Schizosaccharomyces pombe: one gene and its partners. Changing the gene in region 2 together with the main gene of any one other region gives a genetic interaction. Each region holds a gene or a part of one and is shown on either strand. Other genes may lie near its edges. The genes, in order: brr2, prp1 and rna14.

Region 1 (10,564 bases), on a different chromosome or scaffold from region 2:
CAGTAGTCCTCCTTGTAAATCTCAACACTTTAGTGCTAGTGGTTCCACATTTATGTGCACAGAATAACTAATCATTGTATTCTCTTAATAATTTTATAGCTTCTGTTCGCTTATAAATATATATATATATCTAGCGATAATTGTTGAATCTACATTGGGTGGTTTATGAACAAAAACAAAATGATATCAATATGTATATAAGTGTAGTAAATACGATATTTAATATTTTTAATAGAAGCGCAGGATAAGAACTCGTGTTGCTTGATTTTTATCAGCGTATTGTAGTAGTTTAACATCTAACTCTTCGCTTCTTCAGTCTTGGGTAATAAACGTTGCATATTTTTTGAATTTCAGGTTAAAACATTTGAAAATTACTTTAACTATCTACATTACCACAGGTCTCGCTACACCTCTCCTTTCAATAGCATCACTGAAACAATTCTCCTAAGTGAACATGAAAATCTATCTTCGCATTATTTGAAAATCAAAATTTGACTTCATTAATTATAAATATATACATATGTTCATGTATTCATATGAAATCATTGCATACCTAGTAATGCATGTTTGGTTGTTAAGAATTTGCACACGCTGATGGCATCAATAAATTTGCTGAAAAAGAAAAGCTAAAGAATCAAACCATCCATTAATTAGCAAATAAATATACAATGAATTCAAAAAATAATTATTTAACAGTTCTTTTGACCCTCAAGTCAAAATTTTTAATTTGGGAATTATCCATATTTTGCACAATACCTTATTCCCCGTCTTCCATTTCTGTGTCCAAAGGTTCCAAAACGTTGCATTCAAATTCTTTTTCATAATCCACACCCATATAAGAATCGCTAAAGCAGCTCAGTTTATATTTTAAAGTTCCCATTGCCGGGGGCACAAATTCCATCTTGGTAGTCAAGGACCTACCTAAGGTAATCTTCTTAATTGCCAAGAGGGTTTTGTCATCCGAAATTACAAGCCACCAATGTTCAGTTTTTTGAGCTGGAAAGTAAGGAGCAATGACAGTCGTATCAACTTCTTCATCCTCTTCCAGTTCTCGAGTTAGTTGAACAATAAGCACAGAGGGTGAATTAGCGTGAACATCTTCAGAGTCTTCTATTTCAAAATCAATGTCAATATCCGGATATTTATTGATAAACTCTGCGCATTTGGCAAGATGTGCATTATCCATATGTAACAATTCAGTACGTTTTTCGTCATCCAAATCGATAATATCAAAGACATCATGAACACCCTCTTTATTGCATCGTTCGATTAAAGCGTCGTCGAAATAGGGTATCTGTTTTAAAGGACTATCACGATCCCATAAAGCTTGCGTAACCATTTGCGACATCTCCATTGGTCTAATACAAGCTATTAAATGGCCTTCGGAAGACAATGTATCAACACAAGCGCCCAGAAGATTATGTACCCTAGTCAAAATGAATTTCTGATCTATAACTAAACCAGGAGGCAATTCAAATCTAGAAAAATGAGCTGCAAGAAGAATAAATGATTTCGTATGAGGATCTTCATAGTTAGGATTACTTAAGCGAACAGGCAGGCGGGAATGAATTCGCTCCAGCACAATATCTTCATACTTTCGAATTGGGAGTTGCTCATATTCTGCTGCTGATGTAACAATTTCTAGTAATCCCTTCATCTTCGTGCGCTCTGACAAGCTCAAAGCAAACGTTTGCATAGTAATGTATGTAATTCCGTAATGAGAAGCTATCATTGCTAAATTTAATGCGACACAACTATCATCCTCATCGTCTACAGTGATTAAGCGTGCCTCACTCAAATCATTCATGGTTGTTTCTACAAGATCCGAAAGGAATTCAGAAACCGACTCATGAGTGATATCTTGAAGACCATAATAGGCAGGATTGGCAACTAGTCTCCGGTACATATACGACCATGTAAGCCAATCTACAGCATCTTGTTTGCTTTCAATGGTTTGCGTAGATATTTCTGACACGAAAGCATCGTGCAGCCAAACTTGAAGATGGCTTTCCATGGGTAATGGCTCATTTAAAAATTTCTTGTAATATTCCTTCTTAGTAGTGACAGTCATAAGAATAACCTGGCTAAGCTCACTTGATCCAATGCTAGCAGTAAACCCGAGCATTTGTAATAACTCACTTATAGGATAATCAATATAACGATGTTCTTTGCCATCATAGTATTGAGTACCCATCACAATAACAGCGTTTGATTTTGCTTTTAAGGAATAAATAACATCGCGAGAAGCTATCAAAACCTTGATAAGTCCATGACGGTAAAGATATTGTACAATATTCTGATCATTGGACGATGTGATTTCACTAATATAAGCAATACCATGCTTCAATGATTGCTGCAAGGCAGCATCTTCAACTTTATTGAAAGCTTCATTCTCCATTAACGAAAACAAATACTCATCTTCATCAGCCATACTGAATGTAACTAAATCAAAAGCTAATTGTTTCGCTACTTTCCTGTCAGGAGTAAATACAATAGTAGACTTTCTCTGAGAAATAAAGTTCTTCAAGCTGCGATATATAGGCTTGCTCATAGCCAACATAAGGGAAGGGAAATGAGTAATACTGAATGATTGCAAATGAATAGTAAGAGGATTAGGCCTGTCTTTAGGACTAAAATTAAATATGCATTGTGGACTAGTCCCAAGCCACTCACCCAAATCTCGAGCATTAGCAACAGATACTGAAAGGCCAACCACTCGGATATTTTTTTCTAATTGTACTGCCATGTACCGTATCCGTGAGATCACTATTTCGTATAATGGACCATAAAATCCACCAAGCAATTGTAATTCATCACATATATAAAAATCAACTTTCTGAATGCTTCGCATACTTCTCCATCTCTTCGACAATGAGTCCCATTGCGATGGCGTGCAAAATATCAAGTCAGCAACTTGTATCAGCTTCAAGTCTTGTGAACGCTCACCCGTCAATTTTACCAAAACTTTCCCATCACCGAGGTCAGAAAACTTGCCATACCATTCTTCATATCGACGATCAACGATTTCCTGAATTGGGGCAATGTAAACTGCAGTACCATAATCTTCTTGACTCCAATGATGTAACAAAGCAAGTTCGGCACAAACAGTCTTTCCACTTCCATTGGGAGCACCAATAAAAACACTATCGTTGGTTTTATAAACAGAGTTAAACACCTGTGTTTGAATCTTGTTAAAAAATTTAAAATTAGGGTAGAGGGAAATGAAGCTTGGGTTATTAAGACTAGAGACCGGGGCGTTCTGAAGATCAAGAAGAGGTGTTGGCGCAGGAAATTTTTCTGGCATTATCAGGCGCTGAAATGAAAGAGGTACCTTAGTTATCGAGTGTAACCATCGATCTGAAACTATCTTTATAAAGTAACAAGGAGGAAGAGGTTCTAACAAAGGTACTGTAAAATTTACAATATGCTCATCATCTTTGTATTTTTTAAGAAGGAAAAATTGTTCATAATGTAGCAATCGGTCCCCGTCCACGTCTTCTACAAGGATCCAAAAAGCTTCAGAAGTGCCGCTTAAATGATCATCCCAGTTGAACTGAGAATTTATAACAAGTTCGACCCGCACAAGCGATCTTGTGATAGGTTGAACATGTGCTTCGACGCTCAACCTTGGAAAAGACTGAACCATGTTGTACACACGCCTCCCTTCTTTTGGCACCCCTACTAATTCTCCTAATTCAGCAGGGTCCAGATCAAAGTATCGCTGCCAAGGAAATTCCTTTTTCTCAACGCGGCGTATTACTTCAGAAGGACAATTGGGAAACTGTCGAAGGGGGCTCATAGTTGGCCAAAGCCTTTTCTCAATCATTTTGCATGTATCAAGAGAGAGTGTTGCAACAGATGACCAACCACGTCTCAATGATATCTCGAATATTGCACGCATAATTCTACCCGCTGATTGCGTAACGTATACCATGTCTGCCACAAGTGCAAATCCATCCAGGCGTTGTCTTGATATATATGATTGGAGAAGGGCATTAATCTTGGCAGCAGGTTCATCTAATCTTTCCCTAATAGGAATTGGTACTCTTTCCAGCAACTTCGCGAGTTCAACTTTCTCTTCTTCACGGACAGGAATGTGCTTAAATTCATCAGAAAAACTGAAGACTCGAAATAACTCGATAAAGGATGTTGTCTGCATTAAAAGACGATTATATATGGCCATCGAGTTATGAGTAACGTAATAACTTGCAGCAACTTTTCCCAATTCCGTAGCGGTCAACGTACCACTCTGACGATTATACACTAGTAACTTGCATTTTTCTAATAAAATGGCAGCTGAATGAAGTAAGTCAGCTCTTTTTTGAACAAGATATTTGTCATCATCATACTCTGGGCCGACGCTATATAGGGCAGGGGATCGTAACATTCGAACATAGAGGTATGTATAACCAAGCCAGTCTACGCCATCTTCGATACTACGAACAGTTCCTAACGATACTTCGGCATTTAAACAATCAGCTAGACGGCGCATAAATTGAGACTCAATTGGAAGCTGCTGATTCATTAGTGATAGATAATACTGTAACTCAGAGTGGGCGGTAATGATAATTCCTTCACCATATGTGTCGAATTGTGGGCGACCAGCTCTGCCAAGCATTTGCAAAACATCCTGAGGAGAGAGTTCTGTCCAGATACCCTTTTCAGGAGAATAAACTTGGGTCCCTTTGATGATCACTGTGTGCGCTGGTAAGTTTACGCCCCAAGCCAGAGTTGCCGTACTCACTAGTACCTGTATAGTACCATCGGCAAAAAGGTCTTCAGACGTTTGGCGATCCTCTCGTCGCATACCAGCATGATGTATGGCAAACCCATATGGGAGCAAATCTTTCAAATTTTCATCACTGGTAGAGTCGGCTTCAGCCCGAAGAATTTCACGGGATGCGGCATCAGAGCGTAACAAATGACCGATGGTCTCTTCCTCTAGTGCCTTATCTCTTATAAAACGAGCGGTTTTAGCGGTTTCTTTGCGCGAATGTACAAATATGAGGACCTGGTTTTTGCCAGCGTGTTGCATAACTTTTTCATAACAAGCTTCATTAGTCGTCTGCATTCGTTTAAACGGTGTTTTTTCTGTAATGCCTATAAATTCTTGCTTTAAAGGGCATGGACGATATGTCGAATCGAAGTAAAAAAGCCCTTTTTTAGGGTCGACATGTAAAAAACTGGCAACATCGGTATAATTAGGAAGTGTAGCAGACAAACCTACTAATCGAACTTGTTCAAGAGTTTCCTCCTGATGGCGAAATATACGAGCAACTATAGATTCTAATACAGGACCTCGTTCATCATGAAGCAAATGAACCTCATCAATAATAACTAAACGGACTAGATTGACATAAGATAAATCATTAGCTTTTCGAGTTATAATATCCCACTTCTCGGGTGTGGTTACAATTATTTGAGTTTCACTAATTTGTTGTTTAGTCAATTGACTATCACCAGTTAACTCTGCGACTCGAATATTGTATGGAGTAAGCCTCTTTGAGAAATTATTAACCATCTCTTGTACCAACGCCTTCAAGGGAGCAATGTAAACAATTTTAAAATTTTGTAAGTTAAAGCTAAGATCTTCACGTAAATGTTTTTGTAATTCGTTAAGGATACATAGCATTGCTACATTTGTTTTTCCAGCACCAGTAGGAGCGCATAAAAGGATGTTTTCGTCAGTACCAAAAGCGATAGGATAAAGATGGCTTTGGATTCGGTTTAAAGATTGAGTATTAAGAAAAGCTTGATGAGACCATTCAGGCAGTTCCTTGATTTTTACAAGACGCTCGTCAGCGCCAAGTACGGCTTTGTTGGGGGCAGGAACATGTATTTCTTCATACCCTTTACCAGTCCTACGAAACGAGCCTTCAGGTAGCTTGACAGCTTTATTAGACATGAGACGTGATCCCTCAGTAAACACATAATTTTCTAGATCAACTTGGTGCTTAGGTACAATTTTATGGGAAGTCAAAGTTTTCGAAAGTGGAATTTCAGAAACGGGCGCAGGTTCAGCTTTCTCAACAACATTATTATTTAATTCATTTAAACCGTCATCAGGTATAGTGATAGCACCAGGGCGTAGAGCTTCGAGAATCCAAGACCGACCAGCAGCACGAATTTGCTCTTCCACACCTAAGCGTTCTTCATCAGTAGCGGCGCGTTTTAACATTGTACACGAAACTATTGTCCAACGATTCTTAGTCAAAAGTTGAACAAGATAGAAATGTTCATAATCAAAAATACTCATCAATTCATTTTCCAATTCACCGAGATCGTAATCAGCCGAAAGTGCCTCAAACGCTTGATTTGTTTTTTCCTGACAAACGACGGCGTCAGCAAAATATTTTGCTATTTCTCGTTGCAGCCAAAATGCATCGATTTCACGAGGATGAACAGTGGGTATTTCGGTAACTTTTTTGGTATCAGCAGAAATAAATGTAACCTCTGTATCCGGATTTTCAATATTCTTTTTCTCTTCTTCTTGAGATATGGAAGTTTCTAAGACGACGTCTTCATCTTCTGCCACTTCATCCTCTTCCATTGCCTCAACAGCTTCTTCCTCTTCATCGGCTTCATTGAACAATACTGGTACGCCAGATTCATTAACGCCTTCTTCATTTAACTCTTCTTCTTGCTCAACTGTATAATCTGTTAAGCGATTTCCCAAGTTAACGAGCTGTGAAAACCGATCCTGTGGGAGTTCAGTACTCAAAACCTCCTCTATTTGCTTTTTACGACCTTGTTCATCTAAAGAACTATCCTTAAGAAGTTCAATAATCAAATCAGCAGCAGAACGGAGGATTTCAGGAGACTGATCGCCAAGGTATTGTTGAATGAAACTCAAGATATAATCATAAACTTCTCGGGTCTCGTCGGTTAGAGGATTATATTTCAAAATTTCAAAAGAATCAAAATATTTAAGTATCGCTGAAGAGCGCTTTTCGCGTTCAGGTTGCCGTATACCAATTTCTAAGGATTCTGCATCTTTACGAGGTAACCGGACCTCCTGAACTTCCTGCGTCAATTCGAGAGGAAGGGTACTAGGTTTTTCAATTCTCGCTCTAGAACCCATATCTGCAATACTAACTCGATTTACCAGAGATTCCGGTTCGCCTGTAGGTTCAGCATCACGTCGTGACACAAATCTTCGATCAGCCTGCGTAACCAAATTTGACATTGCAGAATAACTATACTGTGATTGACCATAGTTTGGCTTCTCCTTACTATTTCCATGTTTGGGAGGCTCTTTCGAGTCCCCTTTAGGATGTGCACTCGACATGATTGTGAGTGGCGGAGGATAAACTGAATTTTCAATTTTCGTCTACTTCGAGGTATTAGAAGTGTTCATTTCTGTCAGCAATACTACACTACGCTATAATACACTACGTTGAGTATCACTATATGTCACATGTTCTAATTATATATCGTACCATGTATGATACGATATGGAGATTGATCTTAATGATAATCTATTAAGATCAATATTATCTGAATACTATAAATAGAGCTACTGCTGAACCTCGTTCCTCAGTTCAGTTATGAGCTATATTAGTGATAGGTAACATTATAACCCAGTTAATACAATACCTATACTCAGTTGCTACTTATACAACCTGTGTATTGTAATATAATAGATCACAAGGAAAGCTCACCGCAGTTCTACGTATCCTTAAATCAGATACCAAACTGCGTAGCTTACAATAACTGAACTCTTGTGATCTACAATTAACTCCTTTTAGGAAAAAGGAATTATTGAATAAATATATATCATAAATATATATATTTCTCTCCTTCTGGGTTCAAAGGAGAAAGAACTTTGGAAGGACTGTTATCCCTTTTGAAATCTCCCAAAGGGAAACATATACAATGTCCTACGCAAATTATCGTTATATGAAAGCAAGAGCAAAACGATGGAGACCAGAGAATTTGGATGGAATTCAAACATCAGACGAACATTTAATAAACCTTTTTGCAAAAATATTATCGAAGCATGTACCAGAGATAGGGAAATTCGATCCTAATAAGGATGTTGAAAGTTACATTTCAAAACTTGATCAACACTTTACTGAATACCCTTCATTATTCCCAAATGAGCATACTAAAAGACAGTATACATTGAATCACCTAGAAGAATTAGAGCAACAATTCGCTGAACGCATGTTTTCTGAGAATGGAAGTCTTACATGGCAAGAATTACTCAGACAAACAGGGAAAGTACAAGGATCCAACAAAGGTGATCGTTTAACTAAAACATTTGAAGGTTTTAGAAATCAATTGGACAAAGTTCAATTTATAAGGAAACTCATGTCAAAAGCAAATGTTGATGATTTCCATACTCGCTTGTTTATATTATGGATGCTGCCATATTCCTTAAGGAAATTAAAGGAAAGAAATTACTGGAAATCAGAAATCAGTGAAATTTATGACTTTTTAGAGGACAAAAGAACAGCCTCGTATGGTAAAACTCACAAGCGTTTTCAACTGCAAAATAAAAATCTAGGAAAAGAGTCCCTTTCAAAGAAAAATAACACCACTAATAGCAGAAACCTGAGGAAGACAAATGTTTCGAGAATAGAATACTCATCTAACAAATTCCTAAATCATACTAGGAAACGTTACGAAATGGTATTACAAGCTGAACTTCCAGACTTCAAGTGCTCAATACCCTGTCTAATCGATACGGGCGCTCAAGCAAATATTATAACAGAAGAAACTGTTCGAGCACATAAACTGCCTACCAGACCCTGGTCAAAAAGTGTGATATATGGTGGAGTTTATCCAAATAAGATTAATCGCAAAACAATAAAACTTAACATAAGTCTAAATGGAATATCAATCAAAACAGAATTCTTGGTTGTAAAGAAATTTTCGCATCCAGCTGCTATCTCCTTCACAACATTATATGACAATAACATTGAAATATCTAGCAGTAAACACACGCTCTCTCAAATGAACAAAGTTTCAAATATTGTCAAGGAACCTGAGTTACCAGATATCTATAAAGAATTCAAAGACATTACTGCAGAAACCAATACGGAAAAGCTACCAAAGCCAATAAAAGGGTTAGAATTTGAAGTTGAACTAACTCAAGAAAACTACAGATTACCTATCAGAAATTACCCGCTACCACCGGGAAAAATGCAAGCTATGAATGATGAAATTAATCAAGGATTAAAAAGTGGAATTATACGAGAATCTAAAGCCATTAACGCCTGTCCAGTAATGTTCGTTCCGAAAAAGGAAGGCACCTTGAGAATGGTGGTTGACTACAAACCTTTAAATAAGTATGTCAAACCCAATATATATCCGTTACCACTTATTGAACAATTACTTGCTAAAATACAAGGTTCTACAATTTTTACTAAACTTGACCTCAAAAGTGCCTATCACTTGATACGAGTAAGAAAAGGAGATGAACATAAACTTGCTTTTCGCTGTCCTCGTGGAGTTTTTGAATATCTAGTAATGCCTTATGGCATATCTACAGCTCCAGCACATTTTCAATACTTTATCAATACAATACTTGGTGAAGCCAAAGAATCACATGTAGTATGTTATATGGATGATATTTTAATTCATTCAAAATCGGAATCTGAACATGTAAAACATGTTAAAGACGTTCTACAGAAATTGAAAAATGCGAACTTAATTATCAATCAAGCAAAATGTGAATTTCACCAATCACAAGTAAAATTTATAGGGTATCACATTTCGGAAAAAGGATTTACGCCTTGTCAAGAAAATATAGACAAAGTCTTACAATGGAAGCAACCTAAGAATCGTAAAGAATTACGACAATTTCTAGGTTCTGTCAATTATCTTAGGAAATTCATTCCAAAGACATCACAATTAACACATCCACTCAATAATCTTTTGAAAAAGGATGTACGCTGGAAATGGACACCAACACAAACCCAAGCGATAGAAAACATTAAACAATGTTTAGTTTCTCCTCCGGTGCTACGACACTTTGATTTCAGTAAAAAGATTCTACTGGAAACTGATGCTTCAGATGTCGCTGTAGGAGCCGTATTGTCTCAAAAACATGATGATGATAAATACTATCCTGTTGGATACTATTCAGCAAAGATGTCTAAAGCACAATTAAATTATAGCGTATCGGACAAAGAAATGCTTGCAATCATTAAGTCTCTCAAACATTGGAGACACTATTTAGAATCCACTATCGAACCTTTCAAAATTTTAACAGACCATCGAAACTTAATTGGTCGCATTACTAACGAATCCGAGCCTGAAAACAAACGTTTAGCTCGTTGGCAATTATTTTTACAAGACTTCAACTTTGAAATTAACTACAGACCTGGATCAGCAAATCACATAGCTGATGCCTTATCCAGAATTGTTGACGAAACAGAACCAATTCCAAAAGATTCAGAAGACAATAGTATCAACTTTGTTAATCAAATCTCGATAACCGATGATTTTAAAAACCAAGTGGTTACAGAATATACGAATGATACAAAATTGTTGAATTTACTAAACAATGAAGACAAACGAGTGGAAGAGAATATCCAACTCAAAGATGGCTTACTAA
Region 2 (8,322 bases):
AGGAAGATAATCTTCGTCATTTGGGTGGTCCTTAGCCATTAAGCGATCGAAATTATAAATTCCGTCTTCATTAACTATTATAGGGATGCTTAATTTCTTAACTTGATATCCCTGTAAATCAAACCGGTTGGCTTGTAGGATCAAGACTTTCGGGAACGACTTCATGGCAGTAGTAGTTGTAGCTCCTAGTTTACTTTTACAAGCTTCACAAGTATACTCCATTTGGTCTGGTTGTATAGTTGCATCTAAACATTGGTCTATTGAGACTTCTTCATAAATTTGCTCACCCTCAATTTCACCAATTTTAACACGCGGAACTGTCAAAGTCAATCCCTGAGAAGAGAAAGAAGAATAGCGAACGCGTTTACAGGAAAGACAAGATAATTTTTGCTCCGTTTCAAAGTCAAAAATCTTAGTAATGTCAGTTTTCGCAATACTAGATTTCCGTATTTTCCCCAGCAAATACAATAAAAACTCATAAGCATCTTGCTGTTGAGAAGTTCCAAATTCAGAATGCCCTTGTCCCACAACATCTTTGAACATAAAAGGCCTCAAACCATCTTGGTAAGGAAGAATCGATGAAGAAGGATTATTGAGTAAACCAATTTTGCTAGGTTTAGAAAATTTCCCACTTACTAAACCATCAGCTAGTTTACCAAGTTGACATTGCAAATCTGTAGTGGGGGTTTGACAAACAGAATTATAAGTGTTGAAAAGGTTTAATTCGTGAATAGCAAATTCCTTAATAGAAAACAACGACTGCATAGTTGAGGCCAGATAACAGCTATTACCAAGATTTTTAAGACCAGTTAATCCTGGTCCAAACAATCTTTTTGAAGCGTCATCCTCTTCGGAGGCACCAAAATCCCAATTTAAATTTTGCTCTAATTGTAGTTCAGCCAAAGATTTTTCAGTTTTGTTCAACTTGGCGATATCGATGCCGAAATTTAGCATATGTGTCTTTATATTTGGGTCAATTCTTTCCTCATCGCAACTATAACAATATATATCAGCCTGACCATCAGGTGAAATGCTTTTGAGTTTAACTGCAAGCGGATGTCCTGTATCATCATAATGAGAAAGGGCGTGCCCATTCCCACCACCTCCTCCGTACTGTTTTCTTCCACAGCTTAATGCGCCACATGTTAAACACATCCATAGATTTTCTGCAAGATCACATTTTGAACATGTAGCATTGTCCAAATTTGTGACGTAAGTTTCATTTTCTGGTAAATTTATTATATGATCACAAGTAGTTAATTCATTTTCCCATGCAGTTAATTGACTTTTGTTTGATGCCTTGGTAGCATTTTTCATTGCCTCTAATGATAACGAAAGTAAGGGATCCTGTATATCTAATATTATATTACAGACCAAACACTTAGGGACATAAAAATAATCATATAAATCTTCATCACTATCTTCTCTGATCTCAAGTTTCGTAATTTTTTGGGGAGGCTCATCATTAATTTTTTGCTTAGGTTGCCTGGCAATGGTGACCACAATTGGGTGCAAAGTTTGTTCAAAATGGACAAGTGAGTGTTTTAACCCAGTTTCCCCACATCCAGATTGAAAACAGGTTAAGCATAAATCAATTCCACCTTCTTCATCCTAACGTTTGTTAACGAATTTGAACTCCTCTGAGTACATGTTTTAAAACAAGCTATTTAAAAAACATACCTGCGAATTAAAGCAACGGACGCATTCTTCACGATATATTACCTGAGAATTATCTGGGATTACAACGTTTGTCTCTGTGAGGTGCGGACACGACATGGGTTGCTATAGGTGTTTATGGATGGATGGACATGAGGTAGGCAGAATATTAACATTAGTTAATAATATACGTGCATCTTGTTGATTAACGTATCGCTACAACTAAAATACCATCATGTTTTACAGAGGGCTTAATTAATACTCCTAATCCTGCATACCAAACTCTTATTAATTCGTTTAATTATAAACTAAATTGCAGTACGTTACAGTACTGCAACGAGTAATATCATTATAACTCAATTTTCCTTGTTTGTAGAACTCCAGAGGTCCAATAATTGAACATCCTGGGGTTATTCTTTTTATTGTGTAAATAAATTAAAAACCAAGAATACTGTGCATGAACTATTACCATATTTAGACTTCCGAGTGCAGATGTATGCTGTCGAGTCTACCTATACTGCTGATTAGATATTGCTTATTAAAACAACATTTGTATCATTTCCTGTAAGCTTGCATTTTTATATTGAATATTCGAATAGAATACTCATTGCTGTATCCATGTATTAACGCAACAGTGGACAGCGTAAATAACATTGGCATATATAATGTTATCAAGCAGGAGATTTGTAGAAACAGCTTATTTACACAGTCTTAAAATAACAATAGTTAATTAATATTTCTTGAATTTTTTTTATGATAAGTGAAAATCCACACATCAGATTCTACTATACTCACTCAAGTTGTAAACAGATGGTTAATATACGCTGTATTTATTAAAATATCATTCTGAATATATCATTATCATTTACACAGGTACTCCTGAAATTTATAATATTAAAAAAAAAAAAAAAAAAAGAGAAAAAGATACAGCTAGATTAGCTGCCGTATTTTCTTTAAACCAAATTTATTTACACACTACATACATAATTCATGCCTATATTTATAAATGGAATAAAATAGAACAATTTTAATACCCAAAATTAACCTGGAAAAGCTAAGTTAAAAATGAAACGAGCCATATATATTGCCGATTATTATCATATTTTGATATCAGTGTTTTGCAGATGATTCTAATCTAACATATCTGAATCTTTTATTCTTTTTTGTGAAACTGACTTGCTTGCATCTTATGGCTGGAGTCAGTATAAATTTCTTAGAACTTATCAATCCAACGAATATACTTCTAAAAGATATTACATTAGCCTTGCACAACCTGCAGTTATAATCAAAACACTTAATCAACGTAGCTCAAGCATGTCTATTTAAGATGTTAAATATGTTTTGGTAAATTACTTTGCAAATAAAATTCTAAATACAATGGTTTGGCATTATGATAAAGAATAAGACAATTTACAAGCGAAAATAAATTTGACTGATGTGTCCAGGTACACTCATACTAGATACGATGAGCATTGATTTGAAACACCAGTATAATATACCGAGACATTAAAAGACAAACGTAGTGGCCATGCAAAAATATTGCTGCAACGTCTGTCCAGTTATCACTCGGATTCAATTAAGATTTGTTTAATTCCAATACTCACAAAGCTTGTGATGAACAATATTTTTCGTAATTTCAACCGTTCTGCATACTTTACACGACATTGATTTACAAAGTGTAAATTCATCTTCAAAGAAAAGTAGGAAAATAAAAGAAAGGAAGAAAACACTGTTCATGCATTTTTTCAAAATTGTTGCAAAAAATCTAATAAATTTATTTGGCTATCAAATGCTAAATCATAAATACTCGTGTGTTAGCGGTTCAGTGTATAACAAGTCAATCACAATGCTTATTTATATATCGTTTGATTGTAAAATCATTACATACAGTAGGAAATTTATTTTGTTTAAGAAATATTCTATCTTAAGTTTTTCTAAATTTACTTTTACCTAATGGCTCTTTTTAACTTTGTTGTAGTAAAGCTGCTAGGAGTTAATTTCTCTTCTTCGTATTGCCTACTTTTAAAATTTGAAAGCCACTACCAGATATTTATAAAGCCGAAAGGCTCGGCTTATTGCATTTAATTGCAGATAATTAGAATGGCAAACTTTTATCCAGATTTTCTGAATATGCAGCCACCTCCTAACTATGTAGCAGGTTTAGGACGTGGTGCAACAGGATTTACAACGCGTTCAGATCTTGGGCCTGCTCAAGAATTGCCATCCCAAGAATCTATAAAGGCTGCAATTGAACAAAGGAAATCAGAAATAGAGGAAGAAGAAGATATCGATCCTCGTTATCAGGATCCTGACAATGAAGTAGCGCTGTTTGCTACTGCTCCATATGATCATGAGGACGAAGAAGCTGATAAAATATATCAATCTGTAGAGGAACATTTAAGTAAAAGAAGAAAATCCCAACGTGAAAAACAAGAACAGCTACAGAAAGAAAAATATGAAAAAGAAAACCCCAAGGTTTCTTCACAATTTGCGGACTTAAAACGTGGGTTATCCACTTTGACAGATGAAGACTGGAATAATATCCCAGAACCCGGCGATCTAACTCGTAAAAAAAGGACTAAACAGCCGAGACGTGAAAGATTTTATGCAACAAGTGATTTTGTTCTTGCAAGTGCTCGCAATGAAAATCAAGCTATCTCTAATTTTGCAGTGGATACTCAAGCAGGAACAGAAACTCCAGATATGAATGGGACAAAAACAAATTTTGTTGAAATTGGAGCTGCTCGTGACAAAGTTTTAGGTATCAAGTTAGCACAAGCTTCGTCGAATTTGACTTCACCATCGACTATAGATCCGAAGGGGTATTTAACTAGTCTGAATAGTATGGTTCCAAAAAATGCCAATGACCTGGGTGATATAAGAAAAGCTAGAAAATTGTTGCAAAGTGTTATTGAAACGAATCCAAAGCACGCCTCTGGCTGGGTAGCTGCTGCGCGGCTTGAAGAGGTCGCGAATAAATTATCTCAAGCACAATCTTTAATTTTAAAAGGTTGCGAAAATTGTTCTCGCTCTGAGGATGTTTGGCTAGAAGCAATACGACTACACCCGGCTGCAGAAGCAAAAGTTATTATTGCAAATGCCGTTAAAAAATTACCAAAGTCAGTGACGTTATGGCTTGAAGCCGAAAAACTTGAAAATCAAGCTCAGCACAAAAAAAGGATTATAAAAAAAGCTTTAGAATTTAACCCGACTTCTGTAAGCTTATGGAAAGAAGCTGTAAATTTAGAAGAAGAAGTGGATAATGCAAGGATACTATTAGCTCGTGCCGTTGAATTAATACCCATGTCCATTGATTTATGGTTAGCTCTTGCTCGACTTGAAACTTATGAGAATGCTAAAAAGGTGCTCAATAAAGCCAGACAAACCATCCGTACTTCCCATGAGGTTTGGATTGCTGCTGCTCGTTTGGAAGAACAGCAAGGTAATGTATCACGGGTGGAAAAAATAATGGCTCGTGGTGTAAGTGAGTTACAGGCTACTGGTGGTATGTTACAACGCGATCAGTGGCTTTCCGAGGCTGAAAAATGCGAAACTGAAGGGGCAGTGATTACTGCACAAGCTATAATTAATACGTGCCTCGGTGTTGGATTGGATGAAGAAGATCAATTCGACACCTGGTTAGATGATGCTCAATCTTTTATAGCTCGTAAATGTATAGATTGTGCGCGTGCTGTTTTTGCTTTTTCTTTAAGAGTCTATCCAAAAAGTGAGAAACTTTGGCTGAGAGCTGTTGAACTTGAAAAGCTGTATGGTACAACAGAAAGTGTTTGTTCTATTTTAGAAAAAGCTGTAGAATCATGTCCTAAAGCCGAAATTTTATGGTTGCTTTATGCTAAAGAGCGAAAAAACGTTAATGATATTGCTGGTGCTCGGAATATTCTTGGGAGAGCTTTTGAATATAATTCTAATAGCGAAGAGATATGGCTTGCTGCTGTCAGAATTGAATTTGTGAACAATGAAAATGAACGTGCCAGAAAGCTACTTGCCCGTGCTCGTATCGAATCGGGAACTGAACGAATATGGACTAAATCCATTTCGCTTGAACGAATTTTGGACGAAAAAGATCGGGCGTTACAACTTTTGGAAAATGCACTGAAAATTTATCCCCATTATGATAAGTTGTACATGATGAAGGGTCAAATTTTTGAAGATAAAGAGCAGATTGAGCTTGCTCGAGACGCATACTTGGCTGGCACAAAAGTTTGTCCTTATTCCATACCTTTGTGGCTTTTGCTAGCCAAACTTGAAGAAAAGCAGTCCGTTATACGCGCGAGAGTTGTGTTTGATAGGGCTAAGGTTAAAAATCCTAAGAATGAATTTTTATGGCTTGAACTTATAAAAATGGAACTCCGGGCGGGGAATATTTCACAAGTTCGTGCAGCCCTTGCTAAGGCCTTGCAGGAATGCCCATCTTCGGGTTTGCTGTGGACGGAGGCTATATGGCTTGAACCTCGCGCACAGCGTAAAACTCGTGCTACAGATGCTTTAAGGAAATGTGAAGGCAATGCACATTTACTTTGCACCATCGCCAGGATGCTGTGGCTGGAAAAAAAAGCAGATAAGGCGCGTAGTTGGTTTTTAAAAGCTGTTAAGGCTGACCAAGATAACGGAGATGTGTGGTGTTGGTTTTATAAGTATAGCTTAGAGGCTGGGAACGAAGACCAACAGAAAGAAGTGCTTACAAGTTTTGAAACCGCTGATCCTCATCATGGTTATTTTTGGCCCAGTATTACTAAAGATATCAAAAATTCTCGGAAAACTCCGCAGGAACTATTACATCTTGCCATAAATGTGTTATGATTACGACAAAAATGATGACTGTAACATATTGGATCTATTATTTATCTTAAAATTAATGTTTAAATTGGTATTCGAATTTACTTTAGATATTTGTAAATTTACGGACTTTTTAATAAAAAAGAACGATTTTTAAACAGGTTCGATTGAACACTTACTTTAAATCAACAAGAATACCAGTTAAGAAAGCAGTAAAAGTGTAAACCAAAACTTTTTATGTAATACACACTATCAACACGAAAGTGGGTTTTAAAAAACACAAGGGAAAAACTTTCAAAAATAAGACAAAAAATTAGAGAAAAAAAAATTAAGTAACCCCTTTTAAGTATATGTTGCCTTTACTCAGCAACGGGATTCCATTGTGAATATATATCCCAGCGACTAGATTCGGCTTGACGCGACACATATTTGACAAATTGAAGGACACCTTCATCTCTATAAACCAAAGAAAAAACATTCCAAGCGGCTGGCAAAGAAAGCAAAATACTGTCATCTTGCTGATCACCCCTATACACAGCAGCATCTACATCAGGATCTTCATCGCCAATCATATAAATATCATATGCACCATTGTCAGTATTCGCAATGCCTGTCCCCGGAGATAAGCAAAGAGTAGCTTCTAGTAAAGCTGTGTCATTCGTAGTAGCAAGCGTAAAATCGGAACCAGGGCGGAATCGTCGACCAACTTGATGAAAGGAACGAAGGGGTAAGCCACTGACAAGTTGGATCCAACGCTGAAACGCAGGAAGGCGCTGCAAATCCATGGGCAAAATAATATCAGGGCCAAACTCTTCATGATCTAAATATAGGTACCTGTGCTTATGAGGAGGAATGGCAGTTTTCCAAGGGAATGACACTTCGGAAGAATGCATAGGAGTGGGCTGCCTTTCAGCATCGATGATTCGCTTAAGGAGAGTGTTTGCAAATTCCTGATTTAAAAACTCTACTAAAACAATAACAGAATCTTGAAAAAAGCGTTTTGATAGTTTTTCAATGCCATCAGGTGTCAGGTAAAGTGGATTAATATAATTGCTTAAAATATCAGTATCCTGTTTGGATAAAGGTTCTGGCTTAACAACTGGGTAGTATGAAAACCGGGGAAGTTCTAAGTCCATTTGTTTCATTGTTAAAGACTGCAAAGTAGAAACGGTATTGTCGCAGTAATTAGCGTCATAACCAGGTTCGCCAGGCTGAGGGTAATGAAACCAGCCGGAAATAGCCATTCGAGGTTTATCTACATAAACTTCTTCAACATCATGGAATGAATGTCCGGGCTTAACTCGGAAGAAAGAGAGTTGATTCCATTGAGGAGGAATGGAGTGACAAAAATCAGCAGCAGGAAAGGATGGTTGTAATGTAGGAAACAACCGGAGTGCACCTCCATATTCGGGTTTCCAACCTTCGTCAGGTTCTACCAAGTATAAGATATAGGAAATGCACCTGGTACCAATAACATCGTCATGATTCATCAAATGGCATCCTTTTGAGTAAACATTAACAGACAAATCTTTTTTGCTAGCCGATAAAGGGCCACAGCCGGTAATCTTTTGAACGTGAGAGCGAAATTCCTCAGAGTAAAGAGCATCACGAACTTGACGCAAATACTTAAGCATGTTTTGCTCTTTCTTGTCTAATCCATCCAAGTTTGCTAGATCACCAGTTTGCCAAACACGGTAAATATCAGTTACTTTCTCTGTAAAATGTATGTTTTCCATAAGTTCCTTACGAACATTTCGAAGAAGTGTATCATTGATCAGAGGACGAATCACAACATGATTATACGGTCCATTTTTGTGATATTCCCGTGAAAGTCTTTCTGCCTCACTGGTATCTAATGCATGAGGCGCA
Region 3 (4,946 bases), on a different chromosome or scaffold from region 2:
ATGTTTCTGTAGCGAACAAAACCTTTAAAAGGCCTTCCTGAAACAAAATCTCGATGACTTCTTTCAAAATTGGCAATAAACCAGAATGATGAATACCAATACCACGTCTAAGAAGAGGTAAAATATGCTCTATTTGTGGTAACTCTCTATCCTTCTCCGATAATTGGTTCACTGCATTATTAAAAATCGTGGTGACCAAATCTCGCTCAGTTTGGTCGTTCATGTCTAACTTTGACATTTGCAAGGCCAAAGCTTCACATTCTCTTTTGCTAAAGCTAAATACAATAACCGGGTTATAATTTTTCACCATAATCATTTTTACGATTTTGTAAATATCAGAAGGTCCTTTGACACCGCCTTTTCCGGTCTTTCCTTTCTTTGCATTACCTTTAGTAGCCATAGCGGCAGGGTCATCGCCTTGTTTTTCCATCAATGCACTCATTGCTCTTTGAAAGTTTTCTTCTCGGAAATTACTTTTCTCATCAACCACTAAATGAATGCCATCGCTACCGCTAGGGAATAGGTAATGTTGAAGAGGCGTAGGTCGAAAATCTGTATAAACTACATGACAAGGCTGACGATGAATTTTTGTAATCCATTCAGCAAATTGCATAGCATTTGGAATTGTAGCAGACAGGAAGACAAAATGTGATTTGTCGGGTAATAAGATAATGGTCTCTTCCCAAACAACACCGCGCTCTTTGTCACGCATGTAGTGAATCTCATCAAAAATAACCCACGCAACTTCACGCATAACCTCTGAACCACGATACAACATTGAACGGAGAATTTCAGTGGTCATAACCAAACAAGTAGCATCTGGATTAATAGTAACATCACCAGTCATAAGACCGACATCTCCAAATTCAGCAAGAAGTTCTCGATACTTTTGATTACTTAAAGCTTTGATAGGACTTGTATAAATAACTCTCTGTTTATCACGAAGCGATTGAGCAACTGCATATTCTGCAACAACAGTTTTACCAGCAGATGTATGAGCACTGACCAAAACTGATTCTTGACGCTCAATACAGGCAATAGACACTGCTTGAAAAGGATCCAAAGTGAAGGGATATGTGCGCGCAGGGGGTATGGGACTTTTATGTTTAGAGATAGGTACATAATCATAATTTGGAGGAATAGAGACTTGATGACGGACCTGATGACGAAGTTCTACAACTTCTTCAGTAGATGATTTAGCTTCGGTCATCCCAACCTTCCCAGCAACTTGTAATGATGCTTCCTGCTCAAAAGAATCAGCTACCGTAGCCTCAGGTATAGTATCGCCTTCGTTTTTTATAGATACTTCATTGGAAATATCATCAGCAGCAATGTCTCCTATTTTTGGCTTATGTTTGGTATCAGCGACTGCAGAATTGTTAATATGAATTCCGTTAACATCATTGTTAGGAATAAGGTCTTGGTTATCCTTCAGATTTTCGATTTTAGCTCTTTTAGTTGCAGATTCTTGTTCCCCTACTGAAGACTCCAACTTTTTTGTACCTTGCTCTTGGTTAGAGGCATTTTTATCTGTTAAAGTACGCTTTATTTTTTGTGAATTTTGTGAATTTTGTGAATTTTTAGATTCCTCCTTTAAGCTTTTTGGAACTTTACCTTCAAAGACTCCAAAAGCATCATCTAACTCACCACCAAACATCACAATTAAAAAGATTTCTTAAACTGCAATGTGGAGTTGGTGTTGGCAAAAATCTGTTTTTTCTCTGTTTACGAAAGATGTATTAGCATTTGTTAAATAAATTATACTACTTGATTCACTAAGTTACCTAAAGTATTGAAGCGTGAGCCTCACAAAATAGAATTAAGCACTGTGAAGTTTCTCCCAAATGTAGACAAATTTCCTTTATAACCAGCATTATGAAGCTTGCAAGTTGATTAAAAGTATTGAATGTTACCTCAATGTTACTGAAGTAACAATTTCTGTATGTATCAAATGCGAGAAAGCTGTGTGAATTCTACCAGCGAATACTTAAATTATGAATTCTGATGACAATGTCGAAGCCGATGCTAGCTCGAATATTATAAAAGATTCTCCAAAAATTAAAGAACAAGAAAATACCTCAACAGTTAATGAGAGTGATGTATTAGCAACTTCGACGACTGCCAGTAGTGGTGTAAAACGAAAACGTCTCCCAAATGACCTTGTAGGACAATTACGGGATAAAATACAAGAGAACCCTAACGATATTTCTTCTTGGTATGCACTGGTAGAAGAGTATGGATCTAAGGGGAAGCACGAAGAGTTAAGAGAAACTTATGAACAAATGTTGCGACCTTTTCCTTACGTTCCACGAGTTTGGGTTGATTACATTAGTTCTGAGCTTGCCTTTAACGATTTCCATGCCGTTGAATTGTTATTTAGTCGATGCCTTGTCAAGGTTTTATCGGTTGATTTATGGACGTTGTACTTAAGTTACATTCGTCGAATAAATCCAGATGGTGAAGGACAATCTCGTTCTACAATTACTCAGGCTTATGAGTTTGTAATAAATACTATTGGTGTTGACATACTCAGTGGCCCTATATGGTCTGAGTTTGTGGATTTTTTACGTTCTGGCCCAGCTAATTCAACATGGGAGCAACAACAAAAACTAGATCATGTTCGTCGAATTTATCAAAGAGCTATCACTACACCTATCCATAATATTGAAAAACTTTGGCGTGATTATGATGCATTCGAAAATAGTGTAAACAGAGCAACGGCCAGAAAATTTGTAGCTGAGAAGTCTCCTGTTTATATGGCGGCGCGGGCAGCAATGAGGGAACTTTCAAACCTTACAGAAGGACTCAGAGTTTACGATTTTACCTTTGAACGTAAGTATACAAAAGTTGAAAGAATAGCGTATTCCCGTTGGATGAACTGGATTAAATGGGAACAAAGTGATCCATTAGATTTACAACATGGCACGATGTTACAGAATCGAATTGCTTATGCCTTTGAGCAAGCGATGTTGTATGTTCCCCTTTGTCCGCAGATATGGCTCGATGGATTTTCTTACTTTTTGAGCATTTCGGATGAACAGCGTGCTCTTCAAACTATTCGTCGCGGAATGCGTTATTGTCCTTCAAATTTTGTTTTACACGTTCGCTACGCGGAACATGAAGAAGCGAATAACCGTACATCTGAAATCCGCTCTACCTACGAATCTTTAATTGCAGCTTTAGCTCGGGAAATTAGTCAATTGGACTCCAAAGCATCGTCGTCCTCTGAAAGCTCAACAGATGGAAACCCTCAAGAAAAAAAATTACCTGAACACCTAGTAAAGCGTAAAAGTAGACTTGTTCGTCAATACAGTCTTGCTTGGTGTTGTTTAATAAATGCTATTAGGAGGACTGAAGGCGTGAAAGCAGCTAGAGCTATATTTACCAAAGCTCGAAAAGCACCATATCAGTCTCATGAGATATATATAGCTAGCGCGATGATGGAACATCATTGTTCGAGGGATCCGGTTATTGCCTCTCGAATTTTTGAGTTGGGTATGAGACATTTTGGAGATGTTCCAGCCTATGTTTATAAATATTTGTCATACTTAATAGCTATAAACGATGAAACTAATGCTCGCGCGCTATTTGAGAAAGCCATCCCGAGGATTGCAGCTGATGAAGCTAAACCCATATATCAAAAATGGCTTGACTATGAAAGTAATTATGGCGATTTGAATGCAGCTATAGCACTTAGTCAAAGAATGGCTGTTGTTTACCCTCAAGAGTCCACACAAGCCATATTTTTATCGCGCTATGGCTTGAAGGATGATGCTGAGGAAGAAGAACGGGAAACAAAAGAAGCGGAAAAAATTAGAGAACTATCTGTTCGCTTAAATGGAGGAAATGGATTCCCGGGCCATGTTCATAACAACAGGGAAGATGATGAAGTTTCTATAGCCTCTACCTCTTCTAAAAGTAACGTCGAAATGGAAGATACTCGTTTACTTCCTGCGTCTTTGGAATTAGCAAACACTCAAGGAGCATCGAATCCACCTACTTCAGCACTTCCAACTGTTCCGGTACCGTTACCATCTATAATAACCGAATTTTTGGATGAACTCCCAGCTCCTCAAGTAATAACTGGTATGTTGCATAATTGCGCGTTTATTGACTAACTATCTTTTAGGTCCTCGAATCCAACCAACAAAACTTATCGATCATATTATTAAATCAGATATCCCTTTCATTCGTTTACGAAATGCAAATGCACATTTGAAGCGTGCCAGATTTAATTAAAAATTTAGACTATTGCAAAGAAATTTTCTGCACTCTTTCCATTTTTGGTGGTGAGCAAAGTGAACTAATAATGAAATAAAATTAAGTTTTAGGAATGATCGATGTTAAATTACAGCGCCAAACGATATAGGTATATTTTAAAGACGAGTTTATTGTATTACTCAATTTTATCTTTTTTTTAATATATTAATCGTTACAAGAGCAAAGCAATGTGAATTTAGATTTGAGGTTTTGGGTCAAGTATGTAAAATGATTTCGCAAATCATAAAATTCACTTTGGTATTGAATATAATTAGAAACTTTAATCGACGCTGAACCCTTACTTTAAAATTTCCTTTTTTGCTAATTATTCTTAATTTGTGAGGAATGAAGTTTGAGCTTCATCGCATTTCGCATTTAAATATGGTAACCGTTCTTATATTAAACTTAACCGTATTTAAAGTGGTGCATGAAGCATAACTACAGTAAAATTATGTTAAATCAATTTTTAAATTACAGTTGACTCGACACAGAGTACAAAGTTAACTATCCGCTTATTATCTTAAATTTTCTATTTGAAGCTTGTAAATTATATGAAAAGTATTTATTGGGAACTACCCATCGATAACATGATGTTTTCCGTAATTTAATATAAGCAATTATGTGATAATACTAATTTTCTTTTCTTTTTTGTAATGTATTCGACCGCAACTTCATGTTCTTAAATT

The links.
Region 1: mutations in prp1 (region 2) and brr2 are lethal when combined (synthetic lethality), as found in Schizosaccharomyces pombe (one study listed by BioGRID).
Region 3: mutations in prp1 (region 2) and rna14 impair growth when combined (synthetic growth defect), as found in Schizosaccharomyces pombe (one study listed by BioGRID).

What each region holds. Positions count from the first base shown.
Region 1 is NC_003424.3:1,457,972-1,468,535, forward strand, and holds brr2 (U5 snRNP complex subunit Brr2), read right to left. Parts: upstream 7,309-10,564; 5' UTR 7,289-7,308; coding exon 758-7,288; 3' UTR 474-757; downstream 1-473. Other genes in the region: Tf2-1 (retrotransposable element/transposon Tf2-type), read left to right, coding at 7,876-10,564. UniProt on the Schizosaccharomyces pombe protein: Involved in pre-mRNA splicing. May be involved in endoplasmic reticulum-associated protein degradation (ERAD) and required for growth at low and high temperatures. Required for pre-spliceosome formation, which is the first step of pre-mRNA splicing.
Region 2 is NC_003423.3:2,638,234-2,646,555, forward strand, and holds prp1 (U4/U6 x U5 tri-snRNP complex subunit Prp1), read left to right. Parts: upstream 1-3,687; 5' UTR 3,688-3,756; coding exon 3,757-6,477; 3' UTR 6,478-6,664; downstream 6,665-8,322. Other genes in the region: ubiquitin hydrolase Ubp14, read right to left, coding at 1-1,611, 1,681-1,776; ofd1 (2-oxoglutarate and Fe(2+) dioxygenase domain-containing protein 1), read right to left, coding at 6,813-8,322. UniProt on the Schizosaccharomyces pombe protein: Involved in pre-mRNA splicing. Interacts with prp6 and prp13. May also be involved in the regulation of the G0-G1/G2 transition. Required for pre-spliceosome formation, which is the first step of pre-mRNA splicing. This protein is associated with snRNP U5.
Region 3 is NC_003424.3:1,346,786-1,351,731, forward strand, and holds rna14 (cleavage and polyadenylation specificity factor complex subunit Rna14), read left to right. Parts: upstream 1-1,978; 5' UTR 1,979-1,994; coding exon 1,995-4,086; exon of another isoform or gene 4,087-4,129; coding exon 4,130-4,239; 3' UTR 4,240-4,446; downstream 4,447-4,946. Other genes in the region: TRAMP complex ATP-dependent RNA helicase subunit Mtr4, read right to left, coding at 1-1,657. UniProt on the Schizosaccharomyces pombe protein: Component of the cleavage factor IA (CFIA) complex, which is involved in the endonucleolytic cleavage during polyadenylation-dependent pre-mRNA 3'-end formation.